Tamandua tetradactyla: one gene and its partners. The main gene of each other region encodes a partner of the protein of the gene in region 2 in a complex. Links are inferred from orthologs where the notes say so. Each region holds a gene or a part of one and is shown on either strand. Other genes may lie near its edges.

The links.
Region 1: POLR1B (region 2) and POLR1F share a complex: the UniProt entries of both Homo sapiens proteins name them as parts of the RNA polymerase I (Pol I) complex. The link is inferred for Tamandua tetradactyla from reciprocal best matches to the Homo sapiens genes POLR1B and POLR1F.
Region 3: POLR1B (region 2) and POLR2H share a complex: the UniProt entries of both Homo sapiens proteins name them as parts of the pol I pre-initiation complex. The link is inferred for Tamandua tetradactyla from reciprocal best matches to the Homo sapiens genes POLR1B and POLR2H.
Region 4: POLR1B (region 2) and TAF1B share a complex: the UniProt entries of both Homo sapiens proteins name them as parts of the pol I pre-initiation complex. The link is inferred for Tamandua tetradactyla from reciprocal best matches to the Homo sapiens genes POLR1B and TAF1B.

The regions. Positions count from the first base shown.
Region 1 is NC_135327.1:104,391,906-104,399,312, reverse strand, and holds the start of POLR1F (DNA-directed RNA polymerase I subunit RPA43), read right to left. Parts: upstream 3,024-7,407; 5' UTR 2,960-3,023; coding exon 2,706-2,959; intron 1-2,705. UniProt on the Homo sapiens protein: Component of RNA polymerase I (Pol I), a DNA-dependent RNA polymerase which synthesizes ribosomal RNA precursors using the four ribonucleoside triphosphates as substrates.
Region 2 is NC_135343.1:496,690-503,692, reverse strand, and holds the start of POLR1B (DNA-directed RNA polymerase I subunit RPA2), read left to right. Parts: upstream 1-3,983; 5' UTR 3,984-4,010; coding exon 4,011-4,184; intron 4,185-5,332; coding exon 5,333-5,500; intron 5,501-5,737; coding exon 5,738-5,884; intron 5,885-7,003. UniProt on the Homo sapiens protein: Catalytic core component of RNA polymerase I (Pol I), a DNA-dependent RNA polymerase which synthesizes ribosomal RNA precursors using the four ribonucleoside triphosphates as substrates.
Region 3 is NC_135336.1:2,711,249-2,718,135, reverse strand, and holds the start of POLR2H (DNA-directed RNA polymerases I, II, and III subunit RPABC3), read right to left. Parts: upstream 3,016-6,887; 5' UTR 2,614-3,015; coding exon 2,541-2,613; intron 1,056-2,540; coding exon 972-1,055; intron 889-971; coding exon 795-888; intron 249-794; coding exon 165-248; intron 1-164. Other genes in the region: CLCN2 (chloride channel protein 2), read left to right, coding at 4,494-4,565, 6,737-6,887. UniProt on the Homo sapiens protein: DNA-dependent RNA polymerase catalyzes the transcription of DNA into RNA using the four ribonucleoside triphosphates as substrates.
Region 4 is NC_135329.1:56,006,954-56,014,397, forward strand, and holds the start of TAF1B (TATA box-binding protein-associated factor RNA polymerase I subunit B), read left to right. Parts: upstream 1-4,429; 5' UTR 4,430-4,632; coding exon 4,633-4,650; exon of another isoform or gene 4,651-4,822; intron 4,823-5,972; coding exon 5,973-6,071; intron 6,072-7,444. UniProt on the Homo sapiens protein: Component of RNA polymerase I core factor complex that acts as a GTF2B/TFIIB-like factor and plays a key role in multiple steps during transcription initiation such as pre-initiation complex (PIC) assembly and postpolymerase recruitment events in polymerase I (Pol I) transcription.

The DNA of each region.
Region 1 (7,407 bases), on a different chromosome or scaffold from region 2:
TAAATCCATCAAACCTTTGTGAGAGCAACTTACAGCATGTAACTTACTAGAAGTCATCAGAAATCTAAACAAAGACACTCCAACATATATTTCCTTTCCTCCTTTACTTTTACTATCTATCTCAAGTAGGCTTCAGGGTAGGTGTTACTCCCACTTGGCAAATTTAGGGAACAATTACATCAAGTTTAAGGGACTTAGAGTGTACCTTTAAGACTTCTCCGGAACTACTGAGGGAACACATTCGCCAACTTCAAATAACACAAGAACTATCATATGGAAGGAAGATAAGGTTTTTTTTCTGAACGACCCAAAGGCACAACTTAGAAGTTATAATGTCATTTTAGAAAACTACTTACTTTCTCTAAGAAAAGTTGAAATGGGATACCTTTAAAGAATATCCTGGCTCTGGGGGGAAAGGTGGAGGGGAGCAGATAGTCTGTCAAATAGGGGATGCTGTTGAGACAACTTAACACTAATCTGCCAAACCATCTTCAGTCCTCCTTTTTCCTCAATCCCTAACAAGGAGAAGCAAGTAAGTTTACTGATTTTAAAGGATGGCCATAAAGTTTAGAAATATAAACAACTAGGTATGCCAAATGGTCAATTGGTATTACATTATAATTCACAATATGTTCAATGTGTTATCTTTCATCACAATGCATGGTTCAATGTGTGGTGCATTACTGCAGCATTTCTATTAATCTCTGGACATAAAAAATCTGATTTGCTGACTTAGATGACTTGGGTGTTCTGTACATAATTATACCTATGTCTTTAGCTTACCCCACAAGTAATGGGAGTAAGGTGGGTCCAGATCTGCTCAGAACGCAGCTTCTTCCACATGTACATATTTGTCCAATTTAGCTACAGAAATTATCATTCAATCAGTCCCTCACTACTCTGGTGTAGCCAGGCATCTACTGGAGCAATTATGGTTGACTTTCTTATAGCAGGCTAAGTGGAAGATTAACTGGTTACAGAAAGTAGTAAGATCTATCAGTCACCTATTTTTCCAGATTTTCTCTCTCAAATCCATCCTATCATCACTTTTCTCTTTGATGATTATAGATATCTCTTAACTGGTTTCTGTGTCTACTGCCTTAACCTCCTTAAACCATCATCTAATGGTACCAAAGTGATGTTTCTAAAACTGCGTTTTAGAAATGTGTTTATGTTCCAGGGACCACTGACATGTACCACTCTCTCAACAGAGTACCAATTTCAGAATTAGAGTGTAATGAAGGATACAGTGCTAACCCTGCTTAAGCACATTAAAAACAAACAAACAAAAAAAAAAGGCAAAGGGAGGAAGGGAAGAGCAAAATGATCATCCCTTCTGAGCCCCCTTTTCTCCATAATCTCACTGTGTTCACGGCAGTGTCCTTAATACCCTGCTCTCCTCTCCAATTGCACCCACTGCCTTTCCCCTGACATAGACTCTATTCTAGCTATATTGTACTTATAGATCCATGGTCATAGCATACTGTTTCACATCTCTATCCATTTGTTTATGCCACTCTACCTGTAACACTATTACCATCTCAAATTACTCCTCCTATCATATCGTTCTCAAAGTTCCCACGATTCAATTCACCACTCTTCCTGTTGCTGTATCTTTACAGAGTTCTGTCAAATTTTAACACGTCAGTGGATCTGACTTATATCTCTTTACTGGATCTTAAAGTTCCTTGAAGCTGAGATCTTGTTTTTTGTTTGTTTGTTTTTGTACTCCATGTCCCTGATGTACAACACAGACACAACAAATGCTTGTTGGTGCTTGTAGAAAACTGTATATGACTGATTGAAATGATTGGTTCTTAACATGGGTAGAGTTCAGGATCTCTTGAGAAAATGGCAAAAGTTTTGAATGCTGTCCCCAAGGAAATTGACATAGAAAATCCCTGCAATTTCCAGAGGTTCATGGAATTTCTGAAATCATAAATTCCTAAGGAATCCATTCACCAATAGTTTTGGACTTCTGTTTTTAGGATAAAGTAGCCCAGACTAGTATTAAAGCACATCTTTTTTCATATATGTAAATTCTTAAGAATTTTCAAGTAATTTTGAAAACCTTGATTTAAATGCATGAGGTCCCCACTCCCCTTCACTTCCAAGAGCAAAAGGCAAATCAAGTAGGCTGAACAAACCGCTCTTAAAAAACAAAGAATTAATGGTATTTCTCTCATCCCCACTGGGGCCCAAACAATAACCAAAACCATCCTTTAGGTTTTATAATTAAACATTTGTACTCATGCTTCATGGACAATTTTCTGTGAGTCTACTGAGATGCTGCATTCCAAATTTTCATCTGTCAAACGAGGAAACGTTATCCGGAAGGGGATAATCGAGGAGCTAAATGTTAACAAACCTGGGCCTACCCGGGTTCCATACCTCTGGTCTCTTCTTACCCTACCATGGCTTTGGAAGAAGCTTTTCCACTCCCCCCACCCACACGTCACTTCACCTTTCAGTTTTCTGTCTACGAAAGGGCCTCTGTGCAGATCTCGACCACCGCAGTACTGGCTTTGGGGGGTGAACGGAGACCCCTGAACTTCTTCGGGTCTTTAAGCTCCCAGGGGGCCGCTGCGACTTTGACTATCTGCTACTTCTTCAGAACATCCACTCGGTGTCCCCTCCTCCCCTGCCCGAAAGGAGACGCAGATTACATTATAACGCTGCCCCGGAGAAGAAAAAGAGACTGGTACCTCTCGGAATAGCGCAGAAGCTCCGCATCGAGCTGTTCTCGGATGCCGGTGCGTTTCCTGTTCAGGTAGCGCGGCGACAACGCGATGTGCCTCCGGTGAGGCCCGGCCACCAAGCAGGAGTAGCGGCTACTCACCAGAGCGCAAGCGGCACTGTAGGTCGGCAACTCTAAGCAAGACAGGGTGCCGGCCGATCCCACCAGGGGCGCCTCAGAGGCCACCTTTGGCCGCAGAATCTCTGAGCGAGCCGCAGCCATGCGGCTTGCCAGCTTTCCCACGGCGCGTAAAACTGACCCCTACCCGTCTCTCTCCCGACGCCCGGTTTTGACGTCATCCACTAGTTACCCTGCCTGGAGGCGTTTCCCTTCTTTGAGCGGCATTACGCACACGTATATGACCAGCAGGGGGCAACCGCGAGCCTGGAGGACTGCGGAAAAGCGGAACCTGCGGTGCTTACTGAGCATGCGCAGAGGACAAACTGTTTTCACAGAGCAACCAAGTGTGTTTATCGGTAACATCCTCCCCTTTGAATTTGTATATGGCCTTAGTGGGGATTCCCGCTCTGAATATTTCCAGTAGTAATTTGGTAGGATTTTTTGGACCTCACAAGTAGTCAGTAAATATGGAGTCTATTTTATGCGGAAAACCCAATCCCTAAAAGCTGCTCCGATGCCTCAAATGCAGCAAACCAGAAAGCGAATCAACCTTCTCTCGCCAGTTTGGTTCTCCTCGTTCTGCAATCGCGAATTCAGGGAATCGAACCACCACCGGTCATCCAACCCACCTGTCATCCTTGGCGTCCAAACATCCAATCAGACTCCAGGGGTCTTTGGGCTCAAAGTAGAAACATCTGACTCTTCAAATTCTTCCGTCCATTCCCGCTTCCAAAACCACAAGACAAGTCTCTCTCCTCTCCTGCCTGTGGAAACCTAGCCTAAAGGAGAGAAGGATATTCTCTGGAGCCGCCAAATCTTTGAAACACAAATCATGATCATCTTGAGCCCTGTTTTGTAGCCCTCTATAAGCACCGCGTTTTCCTGACGATGACTCCAAACTCAATATGGCTCACAGATTATAAGTCCTTTTATGATCTTCTCGTTCCTTCTCTCTTAAACATCATCTTCCCTCTCTCATTCTCAATCGTGTAGTCTCAAGCATGCTCCCTCTCGCTCTCTCTTTGGCTCTTCAGACTGTTCCTCTGACTGGGAATATGGTAACTTCTCTCATATGGGTAACTTCTAATCATGCATCGATTTTTAGCTCAGGTTTTATATTCTCTTTCTCTGCAAGGAGTTTGCCACCATCTCTGCCCCTTTTTCCCCAGTAGGGTTTAGTTATTTCCTCATCTATGTATGTCACCACTGTGAGGCATTTGTATTTAATGGCACCTGCCCTTTTGCTTGCCTATTCCGTTGCTAGACTCCAAGCTTTCTAAGATGGGGACTGTGATAAATGTCTTGTTCACCACTGCAATCCCCCTCATGATTTTAAAAAAAGGAAATACAGCTACCCTAAATGAATGAATAGTGAATGAATGAAATAACTGATGATAAAGAACTCACAGCCTATATGAGAAAATGAGAATTAAACATAAACATAACATGGGTTACACCGGGTAAGTTCAAAGAGAAAAGTATGGTAACGAGCGATGCCAGTACTAAATCCCTCCTTCTCTCTGTCTACCCCCCACACCTTGTATCCTAGTTTCCTGGCTACAATCCCAAATACAAAGTGGGTTGACTTAAACAATGGGAATTTATTTGTTCATGGTTTTGAGGCTATGGGAAGTCCAGAATTGAGGTATCAGCAAGGCAGTGCTTTCTCCCTGAAGGCCATGCCGTTCTGGGGCGGGCTGCTGGCAATCCTGTGTCCCTGGCTTTTCCAACACATGGTAATGGCAACATCTTCTTTTCCTTCTGGATTCTGTTGACTTCCAGCTTCTGTTGCTCCCTGGTGACTTTCTTCCTATGGCCTTATGAATAAGGCCTCACTGATAGGATTAAGACACATCCCGACTCAGTTGGCCAATTAATGATGGGTTCACATGCACCACGAATGGCTTAAGAATATGTTTTTTTTTCTGGGGTACATAACCCGAGCCTTCCACACCTAGATACTACAAAAGGTGATGGATTGAATTGTGTTCCCCTAAAATACATGTTCAATTCCTTATCCTCCGTCCTGTAACTGAGTTTAATTGTAAATTAGGATCTTTGAAGATGTTGTTAGTTAAAATGAAGCCAGTCTATATTAAGGTGGGCCCTAATCCAATGTGATGGTATCCTTATAAACAGAGGAAATTTGAAAACACTCGGTAAGACCCAGAGAGAAGAAGGACATGTGACAGAGGTGGAGATTCCATTCTGGAGTGCCAATAAGCCATTGCCCGAACGCTACAGACTTCAGAGGAGCAAAATCCTGCTGACACCTTAAATTTGGACTTCTGGCCTCCAACCCTGTGAGATGATAAGTTCTTGTTTTTGAAGCCAACTCGTTTGTGGCACTTTGTTACAGCAGTTCTAGCAAACTAAGACAATCTCTAAACTCTTGAAATTTGTTTCCTTACTTTAAAATAGAGATATAGTACTTGCCCTATCTAAAAGCAATATTAGAATGTTCAAATAAGGTAAATAAGTATTTTCTTCAGAATTCTTTAATTGACTTCAAACTGACATGAGATGATAATGGGGTGAAACTTCTCCCAAAACCTCATGATAGACATTTAAGTCCATAAGTGGGAAATGTAGCAACTTTTACCTTGATTTTGTCTTAAAACACCCCTGTGAAGACCCCTTCCTGCAGTGGTTCTCAACTTTGACTAAACATTAACATCATCTAGGTGCTTTAAAAAAATCTTGATGCCTACAGGGACTTCAGATCAATTAAACCAAAACTTCTTAGGGTGAGACACAGACATTAATGGTTTTGAAACTCTACAGGTGATTACACTGTGCAGTTAGATGAATCTAGATTGGCTCCAGATGATTTGAATACAAACAGTTTGTCCAAAAGCAATTTAAAAGTAAGCTAGACATCAGGGCAATCTAGCCCAAACAAAACTGTCTCAAGTCAAATATCCCAGTAATGAATTTCCATAGATAATAAATGCAGTGCCCCATGGAGTAGTTTTGTAACCTTTCATGTGTCCACAAGCAATTTCCTTGATTTTTGCAAACTGCTTCCTACTATTTTTTCTTAAATTCTGGCTTAATTGTTAGCCACTATCTATACTCTGCACAGTTAGGAAGAGTGAAAAGTTGAGTCAGTTTGCAGGTAAATGTCACTATTATGGAGTTACTATATCAGATTAGCCTGTCCCAGCTGTCATCCAGGGATGAAGGAAACAGTTGTATCATGAGACCTCTCCCACCTGCCTCCTGCCCCATAGACATACACAGATGTTATTAGATCAGGTACCTCTTAGCTGGTCTGAATCAACTTATCCTTGTGTATTTTGACCTTAGAAAAGACCTTAAAAATTTTGCACTTAGAAAAGAATCTGGATTATAAATACCATGTATTAATACTAGTTATCTCTTGTGAATGGATTTTGCTCTTTAATTTGGGTGAATTTTCATAAATTATAGTAATAAGCAAATACTGTTGTGTGCTAAAATAGCAATCAGAAACTTAATCAGTGAAATGAACCCTTTGGTTGAATTTTGGTTATTATAGGAAATTCTCTATTATTAGATAGTTTAATAGTGCAAAATGAAGAGTATAGGTGCTAGGGTCAACTGTGTGAGTTTGAATCCTGGTCCTGCCACCTCCTAGGTGTGTGACTTTAGGCAAGTTCCTTTCCTCATTTTTTATAAAGTTGAAGTTATTAGAGTGGGCTTTAATGAGGAAATGGAATTAGACAGGAGTTCTGACCTATGGATTAAGGATTACATAAAAGAGTTTCATAAAAAGTACATTCCAAGTAAAAAGAACAGTGTATCAGTTGGCTTTTAGTACATTAAAAATTATCCTCAAGTCTAGTGGCTCTAAGTAACAACCATGAATTTATCTAGAAATTCTATGGGTAGACACTTTGGACTTTGCTCAACTAGAGGATTCTTCTGGCTTCAACAGGGCTCACTCATGCTCCCATGGTCAGCTGCTAGGTTAGCTGGGGGTTGGCTCATCTAGGATAGCCTTAGATGTAATGGCCAACTTTGCTGGATATGGTGTCTCCTCTTCTAGCAGGTTGGATGGAGCTTGCTTTCCAGGCAGTTGTACAGGTTTCCACTAGAGAGAATGGAAGCACATGACACATCTTGGTGCCTAAACTCTGGGACTTACACAGTGTTAATCCAAATCATGGAAAGCTTCTGATCTCAAATCCTTTGTCCTTTGCCCGAGAGGCTGAGGGCCTACTTCTGATGCATACTTGCACATATTGGAAGTCCCTACATACACCTAAGTTGGATAAAGAACAATAATAGTACTGACAGGAAGGGTTTCATCATTCTTATTTGGCTGATTTTATCAAACTGGTAGAGTGTGTGATGATTTCATCAAAACCTCAATAACCACCAATATCACATCATCATGGCTAACCTTTTTACAAATCTACCAGTCACTGTGCTAAGTGCTTTATGCAAATTACCTTATTTCACTAACAGAATCATTTTGAGTTCAATACAATTATTGTATATATTTACAGGTGAGGAAAGTAGATTTTAAATGTTAACTGTACAATGGTGGCAATCCTAACTGTCAA
Region 2 (7,003 bases):
CCGCTTCACAGTTGTAGACACGTTCTGTTAACTTTAAATTGTGCATTTAAAATTCATTCTCAGATGTATTTTAAATTGGTTCTTAGAAACCTATGTCTTATGAAAATGAAAATATCAATTAATAATGGAAATAAGTATTTTATCAGTTGACTAGAACTATAGAATTGTTCCAAAATGATCAAAGCCACCAAAATAATCACCGAATATACACATCCAGTGTGAATGTGTTCAGGTACTTGACAGGATTTAAAAATATTTATTTTTATTCATAAATCTGAACATAGAAACATCCCACACATCATCACATAATTGTGTATTCATCACCATGATCCTTTTCAGAACACCTGCTCCAGAAAAACAAATAAAAAAATCCATCCATACATACTCATTGCCTCTCCCTCTCACTGACCACTAGTACTTCAATCTACCCAATTTATTTTAACCTTTGCCCCCCCCCATTATTTGTTCATTCTCCATCCGTACCCTGGATAAAGGGAGCATCAGCTGCAAGGTTTTCACAATCACACAGTCACATTGTAAAACTAAATCTTTATACAGTTGTCTTCAAGAACCAAATCTACTGGAACACAGCTCTACAGTTTCAGGTGCTTCCCTCCAGCCTCTCCAATACATAAACTAAAAAGGGATATCTATATAATGCGTAAGAATAACCTCCAGGATAACCTCTCGACTCATTTTGAAATCTCTCAGCCACTGAAACTTTGTCTCATTTCTCTCTTCCCCCTTGTGGTCAAGAAGGCTTTCTCAATTCCTGATGCTGGGCCTCAGCTCATCCCGGGGTTTTGGTCTCACGTTGCCAGGGAGATGTACACCCCTGGGAGTCGTGTCCCACGTGGGGGGTGGGGGGTGGGGGAGGGCTGTGAGTTCACGTGCCGTGTCGGCTTAGAGAGAGGCCACATCGCAGCAACAAAAGAGGTTCTCTGGGGGTGACTCTTAGGACCAATTTTAAGTAGGCTTAGCCTATCTTTTGCAGGGATAGTTCCACAGGAGCAAACCCCAAGATCAAGGGCTTGGCCTATTGAATTGGTTGTCTCCACTGCTTTCAGGAATATGTGAAATTCTCCGATTGGGGAAGTTGAATATTTCCTCCTCTTCCCAGTGCCCAAAGGGAATTTTGCAAGTGCTTCTTTATTCACTGCCCAGATCACTCTGGGATATATCGGGGCATCACACTAACCTCGACAACCAACAAAATCTCATACCCTATTCAAGATTCCATGTACTTTTAGTGTTCAACTAAACTGACCCCACAAGTTAAATTAGGAAATGCACTACCCAAAATATGTTTTGCACCCAAAAAAAATCCCTCTCTTTGGTCTCACAGAGAAGCTGAACTTTCAAAATATGAATAATATCATCCTTTACTCTGTATTCTGATTTACCTTAGTCCCATCCAGATCAGCTTCATTCATCGATTCTTCCTTCATAGGACTTTTGTGACTAGGAGCAGTACGTGATTATCTGATATGAATCCTAGTCACTCAGTAATAGCTAAAAGTGAGAAACAAAGCTTTTACCCCAGCAGTCTCTGATGGAAAAAGATGCCAAGTATACATTCTAACTAGTAGGGAATTTCATTCTGTGTCCCCTCCTTGGGTCACAAACATGGCCTTGGGACCAGAAAGTAAGTTCTCAAGAAACAAAAGGATGGGCACATCTCAAAGGTCACAGGAGTCACCTGAGACAGTTCCCAAAGGCCAAAGCGGGAACAATCTGAGCCCCCCAAAAAAAGACGTAGTATGAAAATATAACCCAAAGAACAAACATGAAATGATACTGATATAGATGACTGAATAATAAATAAGGGGAGAGGAGACACGTAGTCACGTGTGTAGATATGAACCGTCTACAGGACACAGAAGTCAATTCCCACCTCAGCCCTGAAGAAGGGGCTGGGCCTAGTGACCGGCCTCTGAAGAACAGAGGACGGAGAGGGAAGCACACTACCTCAAAGCCAAAGAGACCAGGCAGACACGACCTCGACCCAGTGCTGAAGGTCAGCCTCACCAGGGACGGGGCTTCCATGCACCCCTGTGTGCCCAAGACCTCCCCTCCAGCATCCTCCCAGCCACGCCCTGGGGTCACCCAGGGAAGACAACAAAGAAACCCAAACTGGGATACAATGCCCAAGACACCTGGACAGTCGCCACAGCACTGCCAAGGTCGTGAAAATCAAGGAAAAACTAAAACGCTATCACAGATCAGAGGGGACAGGGGCAACAGGACAACCAAATGCAATGTAACACCTTGGATTGGGTCCTGGGACAGAAAGAGGACATTAATGGGGAAAAAAATTAGAAATTCAAATAAAATATGGAATTTGGTTAAAAGCAATGCATCAATGTCTCTTTCTTAGTTTTGACAAATAGACTATGGTCCCACAACAAAGAATTATCGAGCTCAAAATGTCGATAGTGGCGGATGCCTGGGTGGTTCAGTGGTAGAATGCGCGCCTTCCACGAGGGAGACCCGGGTTTGATTCCCGGGCCATGCACCACCCCCACCCCCAAAACGTCAGTAACCCCAACACTGGAAAACTCCTGGACTGAGATGACAGCAGTAGAGGTGTCAGAATCAGCCAAGGTCAGGCCATGTTTGGGAGATACAGCCCACAAGATGTGATGCTATTCCAAAAGTAGGGGAGGGAGGGAGGGAGGGAGGGAGAGAGAGAGAGAGAGAGGGAGGGAGGGAGGGAGAGAGGGAGAGAGAGAGAGAGAGAGGGAGGGAGAGAGAGAGAGGGAGAGGGAGAGAGAGAGGGAGGGAGAGAGAGAGAGAGGGAGAGAGGGAGAGAGAGAGAGGGAGAGAGAGAGGGAGGGAGAGAGCCAGCACTGCTTCAGACATCTAAAGTGTGAGGTGGCCATTGATCCCCAGGGACGGTGTTAGGTGGAGAGCTGGGTATAGACGGATGGGGTGGTGGATAGATGGATGGATGGTAGAAGGATGGATGGATGATGGATGGGTGGGTGAGGGAGGGATGATGGATGGACGGATGGATGATTGATAGATGGATGGATGATGGACGGATGATTGATGGGTGGATCATGGACGGATGGATGATTGATAGATGGATGGATGATGGACGGATGATTGATGGGTGGATGAGGGATGGGTGGATCATGGACGGATGGATGATTGATAGATGGATGGATGATGGACAGATGATGATAGATGGATGGTAGAAGGATGGATGGATGATGGATGGGTGGGTGAGGGAGGGATGATGGATGGACGGATGGATGATTGATAGATGGATGGATGATGGACGGATGATTGATGGGTGGATGAGGGATGGGTGGATCATGGACGGATGGATGACTGATAGATGGATGGATGATGGACAGATGATGATAGATGGATGGTAGAAGGATGGATGGAAGATGGATGGGTGGATGATGGACGGATGATGGACGGATGACGGACGGACAGTCCAAGCAGGGAGAGGCTGGAGAAGAGACCTGGCCAGCCCTGAGCCCTGGGGCGCTGTAGCGTCCAGAGGCGGGAGGCGGGAGAACTCTGGGGACGGAATACGCTGCCTTGTAAGAAGCGAAGGGAGCTGCACCCGGCGGAGGACCCGCCCACGGAGCCAAGCGCAGCGAGGGGCCGGGGAGGTTCCGATGACCCGCCGCGCGGGGACGCAGCGCGCCAGGCGAGCGCGGGGGCGGCGGCGGCGAGCCGGGCGGCGCTCGGTCCTCGGCCTGGGCTGGGCTGGGGGCCGCGGGCAGGGCCGGAAGCGCGCAGTCGGTGCGCCGCCCGCCGAGCACGCCGCAGACGGCGGCCCCTCCGCGGGGGCGGGCAGGGGGCGCCGCGCACCTTCGCCTCGGCGCCGCGCAGCTTGACCCGGGCCCTTCCTTTCGGGGCTCGGCTTCCTAGTCGGCCAGGGAAACGCGAGGGACAGCAGGGCGGGCGGAGCGGGCGCGACGCACTTCCGGCGCGCGGCCCGAGGCCCTTCCGGCGCGCATGCCGCCCCGAGGTTCGGCCGCAGGCGTGCGATGGGTCCCGGCGGCTCGGGGCGCGGAGTCCCCGGGCCCAGCCTGAGGCACCTGACCGACCCCGCCTACGGGGCCCCGCGCGAACAGCAGGAGCCCGCCTTGCAGGAGCTGACGCGGGCGCACGTGGAGTCCTTCAACTACGCGGTGCACGAGGGGCTGGGCCGCGCGGTGCAGGTGAGGGCGGCGCCCCGCTGCTCGAGGCGGGCGGGGAGAGGCCGGGCGCGCCCAGCACGGCCGCCGGGGCTCGGGCTCCGTCGTGTTTCGAGGCGCCGTGCATGCGCCGGGAGCGGACTGGCGGAGGAGCGGGTGCGAGGGGCGGCCTTTGGCCCCTGGAGACCTGTCCGGTTGCGAACGGGGAGTTGGGCTTGTGGTTTTCTGGGTTTGTGGGTGACTGCGAACTGTGCGGATTCTGGGTCCTGAGGCCGGGAGGAGGCCACGCGCTGTCGCTGTGCTTCCCGACCGTTCACGCCGTGCGGACTTCTATACCGCGGGACCGCTTTCCTCGAAAGGTGTTGAGCCTGTTCCTGCGTGGGCTGTGAAGTGCTGGGTCCTCTCTCAGCTTTCTTTCTTTTTCCCCGCTTAGCGCTTTAGAGAAGAAAACCACGCTCTGAATGAGTCAGGTGTCGAGGAAAACGTGAGTGAGCTGTAGAGGCAGGGTTTCTTGTGGCACTCCCGGGAAAGTAGGACGTCCTCTGCAGTAGAAAAGGTGTCAGGCATCTTACTCGCCTGTGCTCAGCCCTAAGTGGTCGAGAAGGTGGTGGGGAAAGGTCTCGCCTGATGATCGCGCCTGGCTGTGAGGGGAACGGGGACGCAGAGCTTGCTTTTGAGTGTCGGTTTCACGGGGGGCCGGGTGGGGGTCTGAGACAGGGATTCTCCTGAGAACTGCTCGGCCCAGGTTGAGTAGCTGCTGTCGGTGCATATAGGAAATGCAGCCAGGTGTATGAGAAAGGTCCAGATTCGGGGAGTCGAAGGGAAGAGGAGAGTTCATTCCCTCCAGTGAAAGTGAAGGAGCAGAACCGCATTCTCAGGGAACGCTCTGCGGCCTGACGTTTCTGTTGAGTAGAATTTGTGTTTTCAGTAAGAATTGAGATAACATGAAGGACTTTGGTTGTCAGACTCGGGTACTTGCATTCTTTTCTGCAGGTAATGTGGGGGCCGTTGCAGTTTATGTTCCAAAGCAATTGGCTGTAGCCGGTTTTTTTAGATGTGTTATCACCTTGGCACTATAAGCATCAGTGCATGTAGAACACATGGGGTCTCAGAGTCTTTGAGAAAAAGTGCCCTGGAAGTGCAGTCATTTAACAGTGTGAATTGTATTTCAGGCTATACCTCCCTTCGAATTTGCTTTCCAAGATGAGCGCCTCTCTCTTACTATTGTGGATGCTGCCATCAGCCCACCCACAGTTCCAAAAGGGAGCATCTGTAAAGAGCTTAAGGTTTACCCAGCAGAATGCCGAGGCCGAAGGAGTACCTACCGGGGGAGATTGACAGTGAGTACACATGACATCGTGGCTCTGACACTTCACAACTCTGGTTAAGGGTGTATCTTATGAGTTTATACCGGAATGCTTTCTTAGTACAGTGATCTAGGAGAACCCGTCTTTTAAATCTAAATCATAAAATAATTTGTGGTCTTTTTCCTCACTGTTTTGAAATTCTCATTTTTTCTCGAAGATCCAGATAATTTTTCTTTTTTATTAAGTAATTTTTTTCTCATTTTTATTTAGGCTGATATCAGTTGGGCAGTGAATGGAATCTCAAAAGGAGTTATTAAACAGTTTCTTGGCTATGTTCCCATTATGGTGAAATCTAAGCTTTGCAACTTACACGGCCTTCCTCCAAAAGCCCTCATCGAGCACCATGAGGAAGCAGAGGTGATTGCTGGGACCCGGTGCCCTGAAAGGTCCTGTGGTAGGAGGGAGCAGGTTTGGGAGTGAGAAACCCTGAGGCTTCTTGGGAGTCAGTTTTTCTTTCTCTGCTCCCATTTCTCGGTACATAAAATGGGACGTGATGTCTTGTCTCCATCCTGCATAGGGCTTAGGATGTGACAGTTCAGATGAGTCGGTATATGAAAGTGTCGCTGTGCTATCCAGGAGTGTTTTTGCTGTGGCAGAAGAATTTGCAGATTTTCCTCTATTTTCTGAACGATGCAAATTTAAAGACATAATTCCAGGAAATTTGTCTGCTTTTTAACTTTTTATTTTGAAATAATTTCAAACTTAAGCCAAGTTGTAAAAATAATACAAAACCAATAGAGAACTCCCAAATACCCCCTACCCAGAATTATGATCTTTTAACATTTTATCACATTTTTTATCTCATTCTGTCTCAATCTGTTTTTCTAAACATTGGGCATAGGTTACATATATCATGTTCCTTTAACATTAATGCTTCCATGTATATTTCTTGAGAACAGCAATACTCGTTTATGTAACCACATTTAAATTCAGTTATCAAGTCCAAGAAATTTAATGTTGATAGTAAAGCGTACACTCTATATTCCAGCTTTTTCACTTGTCCCAATATTGTCCTTTTGGGCATTTTCTCCTCCGTTATTAGAGCCAGTCCAGGATCATGTCAATTGTTGTTGTCTCTTTTAAAAATTGTGATTTTACAGATTTCCCTTCTCAGCCACTCCCGAATTTCCAGTTCATTGGGGTTGGTTACATGCATATGTCTTGCTACCCTCACCACCCTCAATTACCACAACATCCTATCATCCCAAACTGAAAGACCATGCTCTGAACGCATTATGCATTATTGGGTTGATAGACACTTCCATCTTTTAGCACTTGTGAATAATACTGCTTCCATCTTGTAGCACTTGTGGATAATGGCGCTATGAACACGGTGTACAAATATCTGTCGAGTTCCTGCTTCCAGTTCTTTTGAGTATATATACCAAGTAGTGGGATTGGGAAAGTAACCTGATTTCCTTCCATATTCCCTCCCATGTCCCTGGAATCTTTTTCCAGTACTTGAGGAGACTGTTA
Region 3 (6,887 bases), on a different chromosome or scaffold from region 2:
GACAAAGGGCGAAGTGAGCAGCCTATATTTTAAACTTGGAACCTTTCCAGAACAGTTTCCTTCTGAGGTGCTTGTGGAAAAGGACCCAAAACAGGAAGCTCAGCATGGCTCAAATTTTCAGGACAGGGAGGGGAGAAAGGGTCTCACAAGACCACCAAACTTACAGACGTGTTGCTGCTTCAGTAGAAGTTTCATCTCCCTCAATCCTATACACTTTACCATACATTACATATTCAAATTGGTCAGCCCTGTGAAACAACAGTGACAAAGTTATCGTTTATAGTAATTAACAATAAGAAGAAGCCCTTTTAAAATGTTAACAAGTAACTAAATGCCAGAATTATAACAGGCACTTTACAGATACGCTATTATTTAATCTTCACAGCATCTCTGTAGGCTAGATATAACTGTCTCTATTTTAATGATGAGGGAGATACTGAGGCCAAAAGAGGTTAAGGATATTGAGCAAATAAGCAATAGAGCTGAGATTTGAACTCATGGAGCTCCAAAGCCTTTCCACCATACCAAGCTCTCTCCCAAAATCCAAACCTCATATCACCTATGTCACATAGTGGTCATTCTCTCAGCCATCAAAAAACTACAACTCACAAGCATGTAATCACTGCTTGATAAATACCTGTCTATCTCAATTCTTAAATGCAGCAATTTCCTTGAGGTTACTCAGATTCTGCTGATAATCATTTATTCCATGAATTAAATAAGGGTCTTTCTACGCCACTTTATCTACTCGTCCTCAGAGGGTATTTCAATTAGCCTCTTCTCAACTCCCTCACCTGGAAGGCCGGTCATCTGTGGGGTTGTATTCACCATCATCTAGTGTACCATCTTCATACAAGGTACTGGCTATGACCAATCGGAATTTGTCACCTGGAAATAACGCCAATATACGAGCATGAAAACAAGTTGTAACATCAAAAAGTCCCTTGCTATTATCTGTGTACAACACTTACCCAAATCTACAGGGTAAATCTGAATGTTTACATCTAAGATGAGGTCCATCTTGAAAGATTCGCTCTCACAATGCAGTCGAGACACTGGGGGGAGTGAAAAAAGAGGGCAGAAGTAACTGCCATGCCCAGAACAGACCCACTTTGGGGGTTATATGCGACAGAGCACAATCGAACCCAGCTGCTCTGCATTCACTGGCGTCTCCTCCACTCTCATAGAAGTACAGGCTCCACCAGAACCAGATATGCAAGAAGGAAAAGGGGATGAAAACTATGGCTAGGAAATGGAGTCCCCCGAAGAGAATCAAAGGTCCTCTGGCAGGGAATAATATCCAGGTTCTAGCCCTGTATAGGTAAGAAACTACCTGACTGGGCAACGTATTCATTCATCCACAGGTTTAGTCTTTCTGTGTTAGGCTATGTGCTGAGAGGATTGCCAGGATGTATAAGGACTGGTGTGCACCTGAAAGAACATTTTGGTCTCCAGGCAAAGGAAGAGACACCAAGGAGAAACAATTATTGATCAGTGACAGAACATTTATACCAAGTAGTTAACTAACTCAGAGAGGACTTCACAAACAGCTAAGGATTCTGAAGGCAATACAATATAAACTCAGAATTCAGATTATTTGCTGTGCACCCTAGGGTGGGTTATTTAACCTCTCCGGCAAAATACAGAAGTCACCACTTACCTCATGGGGGCTGTGGAATGAGTAAGATAAAGTGTGTGTGAGGTGCACAATGGAAAGCGTAGCAGAGCAGGGAGCGATTATTATTATTATTATTTTACTTTTTTATTTTTTTAAACATAACAACATGCAAAAACGAACATTCTTACCATACGATCATTCCATTCTTGATATATAATCAATAACTCACAATATCATCACATAGTTGTATATTCATCACCATGATCATTCCTTAGAACATTTGCATCAATTCAGAAAAAGAAAAAAATAAACTCATACATATCATACCCCTAACCGCCCCTCCCACTGACCGCCAGTATTTCCATCTACCCAATATATTTTAGCCTTTGTTTCCCCTATTTTTTTCTATACCCCTTATCACGCCCTTTCATTGATCACTAGCATTTCAATCTACTAAATTAATTTTAACATTTGTTCCCCCTATTATTTATTTTTAATCCCTATGTTTTACTCATCTGTCCATACCGTAGATAGGAGCATCAGACACAAGGTTTTCACAATCACACAGTCACACTGCAAAAGCTATATCATTATACAATCATCTTCAAGAAACATGGCTACTTGAACACAGAGGGAGCGATTATAATTACGAAAGATAACCAATCTGCACCGTGACAAAACGCCACCCAGGCACTGGGCACAGCATGTGTGAAGCCAGGGAGAACTCGCAATCTAAGTTTCCTCAACAATAAAAACAATAATGTTGTTGTTTCCAAACAACAATTTCCTAAGGGAGGTCCCCTACATCACGGCCTGCCGGTAAGGGCAGGCCACGCAAGTCAGGACGAGACGGGGGACCCGGGGGCGTGTCGCAGAGGAGGGCTATAGCCCCTTCCCCTCCAAGCGCGCCGGCAATCCTTACCTCGGTCAAACTTCTTGCCCTCCGGGTCAATGTCTTTCACATCGAAAATATCTTCAAACAGGATGCCCGCCATCGTGAAAAGGCCACGAGAGCAGCGGGGGTGCCGGATGCGCGACCACGACTGGGGGTCCGCACACCCCCTCGTGTGGATTTTAGAAGAGTGGAAGGAAAAGGATAGCGCCTAAACAGCGGGAGCCAGGGCGTCGCGCATGCGCAAAGCTGGCCATAGTGCCTCTACTTCCGTCGCGTTCCTCTCGGGGCTTCATAACTTCCGCTCCCAGTAATAGCATCCGAGAGATTCCAGGACTGGGGGGCGGGGCTCCGGTTGGCCCCGCCCCTGACCGAGGCAGAGGTGGTGCGAGTTCTCTAGCTGGCCTGGTCTCCACTGCGCCCTCTTCAGACTCTCGGTTGCGAAGGCGGGAAAGCGTGGAGGCATACCTCTGACTGGGACCTTGATCCTTGGCCCAGAGAAGCCCGGCCCTAGCCCTACCCTGCCGGTCCGCGTGTCTGCCGAGGGCACAGTCCGCCCCGAGGGCGGGCGGAGCAGAACCCCGCCTCGGGGGCACTGGCTAGGCAAGGCGCCGTGCCCAGGCCCTCCAGCTGGGATCGAGGTCCCCCGGGGCGGCCCGGACCGGCTTGCCCTGCTAGACGTCACCTGAGCCGGGTCCGTCCGGTTTGGGAATTTGCCGTGATGTCACCACAGGGAAAAGGAAAACCTGCACTGTCCCCTCCCCACCACTGCTCTCTTGTCCTGGGCCCTGCTCGCTTCCCCGGCCGCCCTCCCCGGAGAATTGCCCCTCAAGCCGGATGATGCCCATTCCCCCACCACTGCCCTCTCCCTCTGGACACTGATCTCCTGTATACCCCTGCATCTCGGCACAATCCTCTTCTTGGCTACCAGCTCTTTCCTCGCACTGCCCCTTCCTCCTGGGGCTGGCTCCCCTCCCCCTGCGCACCCTCTCTGCCTCTTTCATCCTGGTGCTGCTCCGTCCCGTATGCTACCCCTTTCCTAACTGCCCTCGCCCTCTCACTAACTTCGCTCTGGTATTGCCTATCCACCGTTGGGCTTCCCCAACTCTGTACCCTATCTTTCCCCGGACCCTGACAGGGGACACCAAGCCCCCGCAGGCCGTTCCCCTAGGGTGGCGAGACGTGAGCAGCTCCTCGAGCTTCTCTTAGGGCCCAGCGGGGGAGAAGCGACCTCTGCCCCCCACGCCCGCCAACCAGGAGTGGCCGCTCCGACACCCAGCTCTCCCTTCCCGCGGGCCTTACCCCTCTCCAATCCCTCCCTACCTCGTCAGCCACTCCACCCCCACCCCCAGGCCAGGTTCCTCCAAGTGCACCTCCGAGAGGCGGGGGTCCGGAGGAAGGGGAGGAGGACGGAGCCCCAGGGTCTCGGTACCAAGAAGCACCTCCCCTCCCCACCGCTCTTTTGTCCAAAATGCCCCCTTAGAGAGGTCTATCCAGGCCCAGCCGAGCCTTTAGGGCCACCCCCCACCCCCACCCCCACCCCCACCCCTGCCGGAGCAGAGAGGACGGCGCTCCTTAGGTTCCTTTAGACAGCTCCAACAGCCCCCGACTCCAGGCCAGTCGGCCTCACGGTCGCCGACTCCTCCACGTGCCAGCGGACCGGCCCCCGCCCCAGCCCCGGGTGCTCGCACGGCCCCGCGCCCTCGGCCGCCCCTCCCGAGCCAAGGAAGGCGGCCCCAAAGCAGACCCCGACTGCGCTGGGCCGGGCTCTAGCGGCGCACAGGACCCCGCCCCCGGCCCGCCCGCCCGGGAGGGGACGCGAGCGGGAGGCTCCGCCAGGGCGCCCGGTTGGGGCGCGCCGCACTCTCCACTCGGCCCGGGCTGCGGGGACAGGACGGGGGCCGGCGCAGGCTCTGCGTGCTTGGAGCTGAGTCCCGACCCGGGTCGGAGCTGCAGACGGAGGCGAAAGGGCCCCGCGCAGCGATGGCGGCGGCGGCTGCCGCGGCGGCGGAGGAAGGGATGGAGCCGCGGGCGCTGCAGTACGAGCAGACCCTGGTAAGTGAAGCCGAGCCGAGCCCTTAGGGTGCACTCCGGCACCGCGGCTCCAATTCACCCTTTGGAGGCGCCAGGAGTGGGCCTACGCTGAACCCACCCCAGCCTTCTGAGATGGGGAAACTGAGGCTAAGGGATCTGAAAGGCTGGAGGGTCAGAGGGGTCGAAAGCTACATGCAGGCTAGGGGCCTGCAGAGGACACCAGGTGCTTGTCCCAGGTATCTCTTCCTTTACCCGTCCCCACCACACACACACACACACATGCACACGTTTTCCTTTCTCCTCCCCCACACCACTTTGGTCCAATTCTTGCACCCCCACTACCCGTCCCACCACCACACACACACCAAGGACTTTCTCCTCACGCTCCACCATCGTGCATGATGCATGGCACTGTGCTAGACGTAGAAACAAGGTGTAGAAAGATAATCAGACCTAAACCCAGCCCCTACCCCTGGGGGCTGACAACCAGCCTTGCCTGGGCCCTTCAGTCAATTCGCTGAGAAAAGACATCCTGCTACCAGCCCTGGGGAACAGGAGCTTGGGGAGGACCGGTCAACAGGAATGGGTGTGGGAACTGGGACCTTTGTCCATGCTGACTCTGAATATCCAGTCCCCCACCCATTCCAGGGGTGTCCCTTGACCTCATTAAAAGCAGGGGTCTTGGGGCTCTGAGCTCACTCAAGGCCAGCACTGTTACTTAATTTTGAGAAGCCAAATGCCCCTCCTTTGGTCACTGGGGAAGGACCTTCAAGCTCCAGGGAAGAGAACGGATCCTGTGGCTCTTTTTCATTACCTTGAGCTAGAATTTGCCCAGAAAGGTGGCAAGGAGGGAACTTCTCTAGGAGGAAGGGCCCTGGGCTGTAACTGAGGCTGGGAAGTACCTAGTTACAAGAGAGATGGCAGGGGTGGAGTGGAGTGCGGTTAGCAGGGCAAGCATTAGGATAGGATAGAAGGTTTCCGTCAGTCTTACAGGCCGAGGATGGGACATTGGTCCCAAAATGGTATTTGTCTGTCTGTCGCACCAGCCACATCTCTATCTCCTTTGCCTCTGTCCCTATCTCTGGAATGAGCTCCCAGGGTCAAGCTGTCTCTCTGCACTCTCTGCTCCAGCCTCTCCCCTTTCCCTATCTGATCCCTTTGTCTTTCTCTCACCCACTCACCTCCCCCCTGCTACACTGTGTCTGCTTCTTTATACTCTGCTTTCCTTCTCTTTCATGCTCCCTACTTCTTCCCCTCTCCTGCCTCCTTCTTCTTGTCCCTTCCCCTTGCTTCTCTTTTCTGTTTTTCCCTCCTCCTCTTTCTACTTCTCTTCCCTCTCTCCTATCTCTCACCCTCTCTGTGTTTCTATCTTTCCCTCCCCCTCCCCACCCCCAGCCCCAACAGGAGCCCTTTGTGTCCCGAAGCTCTGCGGGTGGCAGCCGGAATCTCCTCCTCCCCACCCCCTAACACACGCCCAGCTTGGCAGGTCTGGCCATGGCGACTCTCCCCCATCCCATGGCGGGAGCATCCAGTCACAGGCCAACCGCTGGCAACCTCTGCTGTCCCCCAGCCCACCACTGGGCTCAGGGCAGCAGCATGGGACTAAGGCCACTGAGCACCCTCCACTCATCCTAGCTAGCTGGGCTGGCAAGCAGTTGGGGAGGGGCGGGGTGGGGAATGAGGACAAGGGGATTATGGTGGGTGGGAGGGGTTGCAGCTGAGTGGATCACAGGCCAGAGGCCCAGCAAGAACGTGATAAGGATTGGGGCCCCCGCCTGTGCCCGGGCCCAACTCTGAGCTGCCCCCAGCTGCCCTTGACCATCCCTTATTCTCTGACCTTCTTTCCTCCCACTTTCAGATTGTATTTTAGGCCTTTTCCTCCTCTGGGGCCTTCCTTCTCACTCCTCCTCAGTCCCCCCACCCCTACCCAGGCCTGTGAGAAGAGGACTGATTACTCAGCCACCCCCAGAGCTGAGTCCCTATACCTTGGCTGTCCCCATCACTCAGGCCAGTACAGCGCCCACAGTCTGCAATGTGTATTGTTCCCAAACCCGGAGTCAGAGGGGAACAGTGTGTTCCGAGGGGGGTCTGCAATGTGGGACTGGGAGAAAGGGAGCCGAGGCATCAGGGGCCCTCCCTGCATTCCCTCTTGGCCCACTTCTGCCAACACCCCATCTTCCCTATTGCTCCAGATGTATGGCCGGTATACTCAGGACCTTGGGGCCTTTGCCAAAGAGGAAGCTGCTCGGATCCGCCTGGGAGGGCCTGAGCCCTGGAGGAATCTCCCATCCCCTCGGACTCCCCCAGAGCTCCTGGAATATGGACAGAGTCGTTGTGCCCGAT
Region 4 (7,444 bases), on a different chromosome or scaffold from region 2:
GTTGAGTTGTTTATTGTTTTAATTGATTTGTAGGTATTTAGTATCTGTTATGGATAGAAGTCCTTTCTTGAATATATGTATTGTGGATATCTTATCTTAGTTTTTGATTTGGTTTAACAATATCTTTTAATGAACTAGAGCTCTTAATTTTAATGAAGTACAAGTTAGCAATCTTATTTTTCATGGTTAATGCTTGTTTAAGAACCTTGGCTTGCTCCATATCATGAAGATATTCTATGTTGTTTTCTAGAAACTTTATGATTTTATTCATCACGTCATTCTATGATTTATTTCAAATTAATATTTGTATAGAGTGTGAGCAGGGGTCAATATTTTTTTCTTATCAATGCTCAACTGATACAGTACCATTTATAGAAAAACCATCCACTCCCCACTGATTTGTAATGGCACCTTTGTTGTAAATCAGTTAATCTTATATGTATTTAGGGGTCAGTTTCTGGACTTTCCATTCAATTTCATTAATCTTTTTCTTTAACTTTGCACCAATACCACATTGATTTTTTAGCACTGCTCCCATAAACACTGGTGTGCAAATATCCATTTGTGTCCCCACAAATGGATTTCAGGATTATATGACAACCCTACCCCTAGCCTCCTGTGGAATCACCACACTGCCCTCCAAGGGGCTGCAACTCTCATTTTCCCTACTGACAATGAATAGGTACATCTTTTTTTCTGCATTTTTTTCTAGCACTTGTTTCTCTCTGTTCGTTTTTAAACAGTTTTATTCACATATCATAAATCCAACTTAAGTATAGAGACATGATGTTGCCACCAGAACCTATACGAAGACACTTCTTTTTCTTCCACAGAGAATCCATACCTTGCCCCATGCCCCTCCTTCTTGGCATTTAGTTTTGGCATAATGCCTTTGTTATATTCAGTGGAAGCATATTACAGTGTTACTGATGACTACAGACCCTAGATTGCATTGATTGTACTTTTTCCTGTATACCATCTGTTCTAGTTTGCTAGCTGATGGAATGCAATATACCAGAAATGGAATGGCTTTTGAAAGGCGGAATTTAATAAGTTGCTAGTTTACAACTTATTAATTGGGACTAAGGCCGAGTCCGAATTAAAACAAGTCTACACATATGTCCAATCAAAGGCATCCATCCAGGGAAAAACACCTTGGTTCAAGAAGGCTGATGAAGTCCAGGGTTTCTCTCTCAAGTAGAAGGGCACATGGCGAACACAGTCAGAGTTCTTCATCTGCTACCTCCTTCTCCTGGCTTCCTGTTTCATGAAGCTTCCCGGGAGGCACTTTTCTTCTTCATCTCCTAAGGCTGCTGGCTGGTGGACTCTGCTTCGTGGTGCTGCAGCATTCCCTGCTCTCTCCAAATCTCCCATTCTCCAAAATGTTTTCTCTTTTATAGGACTTCAATAAACCAATCAAGACCCATCCAGATGGGTGGATACATGTCCTCACCTAATCCAGTTTAACAACCACTCTTGACTAAATCACATCATCCGGGGAGATGATCTGATTACAGTTTCAAACTACAGTATTGAATAGGGATTATTCTGCCTTTATGAAATGGGATTTTGATTAAAACATGGCTTTTCTAGGGTGCATACATCCTTTCAAACCAGCACACATTTTCAACATCTTGCAATGTGGACCATCATTTGTTCTCCCTCATGCAGAAACGTTTTTTATTTGCACATTTAATCACTGTCATTGTCCCCTTTAGTCATTCCTAAATTATGTCAATTCAGTCTTTATCTACCTTTCCTTCTGGTTTCATATGTGCCCCCAGCCCTTCTCCCTCAATCATAATCACATTCAGCTTCATTTAGCGTACTTATTGTTAGGTCGGGGGAATAAGGGAGGGCTGTAAGGCTGGAATCATGAAGTCACTCCAGAACAGGAGGTGAAGGGAGGTGAACCATTACAATCAAGGTCCTTGAGCAGCAAACATCTATTCACGGACATCTAACCACCCGCTGCTCAACCCGTTAGCATAATAATCCTTTGTTTAATATGCTGCCCCTTTCATGTCATCACCTAACCCCTGCCCTTAAAAACTGCACTCGCCAAAGCTCATGCGGGGACTCACCTCCGTCCCTCTTGGGTTCGGTGAGCTCTGCCCCTGAGTGCAGCCCAATAAAGCATGCTCATTTACAATCCTTTTGTCTACTTTCCTTTCTCTCAAATACCTCATATCTTAAAACCTTTTACTTATATTATTGTGCTACAGTCAGGTAGTACTGTGCTATCCATTTCTGAATTTTTACAATCAGTTCTGTTGCACAATTTGTATTCCTTCAGCACCAATTGTCCAATCTCTATCCTATTTCTATCTCCTGATAACCCGTGTTCTTAACTTTAACCCTCAAAGTTCACTCATTAATGTTAGTTCAAATTAGTGAAACCATACTGTATTTGTCCTTTTATTTCTGGTTAATTTCACTTAGCATAATTTCCTCAAGGTTCATTCACATTGTTATATGCTTCATGACTTTATTTTGTCTTACAGCTGCATAATATTCCATCGTATGTATATACCACAGCTTGTTTAGCCACTGGTCTGTTGACAGACATCTGGGACATTCCATTTCTTGGCAATCAAGAAATAACTAACTTTTACAGAGGAGGCAAACTGAAGTAAGTAAAAACAGAAAACAAAACAAAGTAAAATAAAATGAAAAATGTGATTAGAAAACCAGGTCTGATGCAACAACTTGTGTTCTTTTTCAAATATCTCATCCATGCTATTGAAAGCCAGCAAGAAAAAAAAAAGGCCGGTTAAGTACTCCCTCTCCTCATGCCTCCCTCCCTGCAAGCCTGATCCCTCCAGAAAGTGTCTCTTTTCTCAACCTTTTCTTCCATCTTGCTCTGCATCAAAATGCACCTGTCCCATGCACCATCTCTTCAGGCCCACAGTCTCTATGTTCTAGGTGATGAGGCAGAGATTGTGGTAAAAAAAGAGTCCTACCTTCCTGGCAACATGGGACAGAGATCCTGGAATGAGCTAAGACTCAGCATCAAGGGACTGAGAAAAACCCTAGAATGAGCTGAGAATTAACATCAAGGGATTGAGAGAACCTTCTTGACTAAAGGGGGAAGAGTGAAATGAGACTAAGTGTCAATGGCTGAGAGATTCCAAACAGAGTCGAGAGGTTATCCTGGAGATTATTCTTACGCATTAAGTAGATATCACCTTGCTGTTCAAGATGTAGTGGAGAGGCTGGAGGGAACTGCCTGAAAATGTAGAGCTGTGTTTCAGTAGCCATGTTTCTTGATGATGATTGTATAGTGATATAGCGTTCACAATGAGACTCTGTGAATGTGAAAACCTTGTGTCTGATGCTCCTTTTATCTACCATATCAACAAAAGAGTAGAACATATGGAATAAAAATAAATAATAGGGGGAACAAATGTTAAAATAAATTTAGTTTGAAATGCTAGTGGTAAATGAGAGCAAGGGGTAAGGGGTATGGTATGTATAATCTTTTTTTTCTCTGTTATCATTTTATTTCTTTTTCTGTTGTCTTTTTATTTCTTTTTCTGGATCGATGCAAATGTTCTAAGAAATGATGAATGTGCAACTATGTGATGGTATTGGGAATTACTGATTGTATATGTAGAATGGAATGATATCTTAATGTTTTGTTTGTTGTTAATTTTTTTTAATTAATTAAAAAAAGAAAAGAAAAGAGTCCTAGGCTTTTGTGAAAATTTCAACATTGAAGAACTACTATGTTGAAAATTTGGGTATCCACAGAAGGCCTGAGTCTGGTGGGAGAATATAACTGCACTTTCGGTGAGACCCCAGTTGCCCTCAGATTCTGTATTGATGCCTTCTTCATGTGAGGGAAAGCTGCAAGGAATCCACCTCCTCTGATGGAGAAGAAACTGAACAGAAAAGACAGCTTGTGGAAGACGTTAAAAGACTCACTGAAGAAGAGAGAAAATATGACATGATATCCCTGCTTCTGACTCCCTCACTCGCTCTCTCTGAATTTTATCAGGCAATTTCAGATGCAGTATTCCGCTTCAATATTCTGTGTCTGTCTGTCCCTCTCTCTTTAAACGTATACCTGTAGGTAATACCAAGATCTGTATGACTATCTCTTAAGATAATTTTGTTTTGCTTTTAATAGTTGGATAGATTTTGTCAGTCAGCGAAGATGCTGTTTTGTTTACTAAATAAAATTGGCATTCCAATTGCCTCATTTCCCTTATTAAAAAAAAAAAAAAACCCAGTAAGGGGTGGAGAAAGGAAGCCGTGCATTGTGAGCGCGGGTAGCTCTAGCTCTGGAACTTGGCCCTCCCTAGCCTCCCTAAGTCTCGCAACGAAAAAATGGGTCCTGTAAGGCACCACCATTAGAACGAGGCGTGATTGGATTAGTTCGGCAGCAGGCCCCGCCCAATTGTTTATTGGCTGGTTTTAGTTAGCAAGACTAGAAGCGCCTACCGGATTTACGCAGTTTTGCCCCCAGAGCTTGTCCAGGTTTCACCGAGGCCGCAGGCACCCGGAACCCAAAGCCAGGGCTTCCTGTTTCCGGCAGGAGGGCTGCACTATCCGCTCCCGAAAGCTGCGCTCCAGACCCGGTTCATAGTGCCCGGCGGCGGTGGTGGCGGCGACGGGGGCGGCGCCGTTATGGACCTAGAGGAGGCGGTAAGGAGGCGGTGCCGCTGGCTGCCGGGGCACAGCTGGGACTGGAGCGGAGTGAGGCTAAGGGGAAGGGGTTGGAGGATGCTAAGTGGCTGTGAGGCAGGCCGCCGAAAGTAGAGGGGCGGGCCGGAAGGATGCGAGGCCGGGAAACGGGCCAGGGTTGGCGGGCGACTCGAGTTCTTGGGAACGAGACAGGAGTTTCAGGCTCAGCGAGGTTGTGGGTGCAGGCAGGGTGGTTTGTTTGTGATATGGGTGTGTTTAAGGAGGAAGATGAGGTTGTGGGTTTTGTGGGGAGGCCACCCACATGGCGCATCCTTTGTCAACCGGACCACCCACAAGTTCCCATTGATGCTGTGGTGGGGGAGGGAGGGGCAGAGGCTGGAACCAGAATCCACCCAAGTAACCCCTGCAGATCTCTCTGGGAATCCTCGCCTCGGTCTGGTGCAGTGATTCCAAATACCGGTTTGCGGACACCCCAATGTTAAGGTAGTTATCAGCATGGGGTCGTTGAAGACTTGACCACGTTGTCAGAACAATTTTGCTTTCATTTTTGACATGCCTCATAAAATGCTGCATTCTTTAATGGTGTCGACGAAGTGTTAGGTCTTCTTATCAAGAATAATAAGTTGTGCAACACCTAAGACATTAGGAATCAGTGATTTAGTGTCAGTCAGAGTTAGGTCTTTGACGTACAGAAGCAGTATGATGATAGAAGGCCTTACTCATAATAGCTGCTCAATAAGTGTTCATTGATTGATGAATGGTTAATATACATTAATAATTATAACTCACCATTAGCATGTATACTCTGAGTAGGGATCACGTAGGGATCACGTCTGTTTCACTCACCATTGAATCCCTAGCGTCTAGTAAAATGCCTGATACATTTAGTTATACTCAAATAACTATAATAGTTGATACTCATTATAATTGCTGAATGAATACAATGAAACTTGAAACAATTCTAATAAAAATCTGGTTTCTTTGTGGTGAGTGTGTGTTTTTAGGGACCTGAAGGAGGTTCCAAATGATATGCTATTTCTATGTTTTAAGTCTTCTCTATACTTAAAGCTTGCCTTTTTTTCATTCAGTGTTTTCAAGGAGTTTTATTTACTCTTCTCTGTTTGCAGTTTTACCCTTACCACCTTTTCTTCTTTTTCCTCACACTATATATATTTTAGAAAAGAGTTTGATTTGCTTTATACTGGTTCAGAGACTGAATTGTTATTCGCCTCTGATTTATTTTTATTTCGATGATTTTCATTTATAAAATGTATTAAGTGTAATTTGTTCGTTAACACCTTTTCTATCCTCTTTTCCTATAGAAAGAGTTCAAAGAACGCTGTACTCAGTGTGCTGCTGTCTCTTGGGGCCTTACCGATGAAGGCAAATATTATTGCACTTCGTGCCACAATGTTACAGAAGTAAGTAATTGATGTATCATTTATGAATTCGTTTGCTTCAAAATTGCAGTTTCAGCCTGATATATAACACAGTTCCCAAAGAATATTTATTTTTATCACTCATGAAATGTGAAAATTCCAAGAAATGTAAGTAGTCTTCAAGTACTTACACACGGGTTAAGGAATTTGTGAATTAGATTTAAGGTGAGTTTTTAAAATTAAGTTGGGCCACACTTTTAAATGATTTTCTGATTCGGCATTTAAGATTTAAGGGGAAATAATTGAAATTGTACTCAGAAGATGATACATTTCTATGTTAGTTAATGCTTAAGAGCTTTTAATATGCTTCATATCATTTTATTTTTGTACAGTACCTTACAGATTACAAAGTGTTTTCTTATCTCATTTCTTCTTCATAGGGAACTGTGAGATATGTTATGTGAGTATATAGATGAAGCATCTAGGGTTCACAGGATTTGAGTGAGCTTGCTAAAGGTACCAAGTGTGAAGTGTCTGAGCCAGAACTTGAGCATGAGTCTTCCTTACTCTGGGGTTCTTTTCACCCCACCACACCTGCCTCTTAAAATAGAAATTATCATGCAGTTCTGTGTGATCTTGGTGAACGGGGAGCTCTTGGTCCTGTTCTGGTTTCACGCTGTAAGAGTAACAGAACCAAAATAATCAAAGGTGTGGACAGCCTGCTAAAATGCAGGACTCTGTTGAAAGGGATTTGCTCCGAGTCTACAGAGGCAAGATGGAGCAAATAATCACATTCACCAAGTAAGCTTAAGAAAGACAAATATGGAGCAGATAAAAGTAAATGTGTAGACTTCTGGGCAAGATGAAGTCCCTGGGACCATATTTATTTTCCTACTTGAAACAGCTGCAAACCTGGGCAAAATATATGAAACAAGTAAAAAAAAAATGTTTTCTTTGAGAAAAGTGGTTAATTTAGCTGGCAGCTCAATTGCACAAGTGCTTTTCCTTGAGACAATTGTTGTACTTCAGTCTTCAGCTGAAGGGCTCGTGTGTACTTCCCATGTGTTCACACATAGTGTTAAAAAGATTTGTTCTTGCTTGATGAAATTGTTGGGGTGATGGGCATGCTAATTATCTTGATTGTGTTGATGGTTTCAAGGACAGCTCATCAAATTGTACGCTTTATAAATATATTCCGTTTGGTGCCTCTGCCTTGATTTGTGTTAAGTCTCTAGCGATTTTACTTACCATTGTTTTGCACCAGCAGTGCAAATGTAAACATAATGAAGAAACATGATAACTAAATGGACTGTTTACTGTCTGCAAAGTCAGTATACTATTTTTGTAGAAATTGAGCTATATTAGCTAATTGCTTCTTTTATTTCTGCATGTGATAATGTTTCTATTTGTTTCTG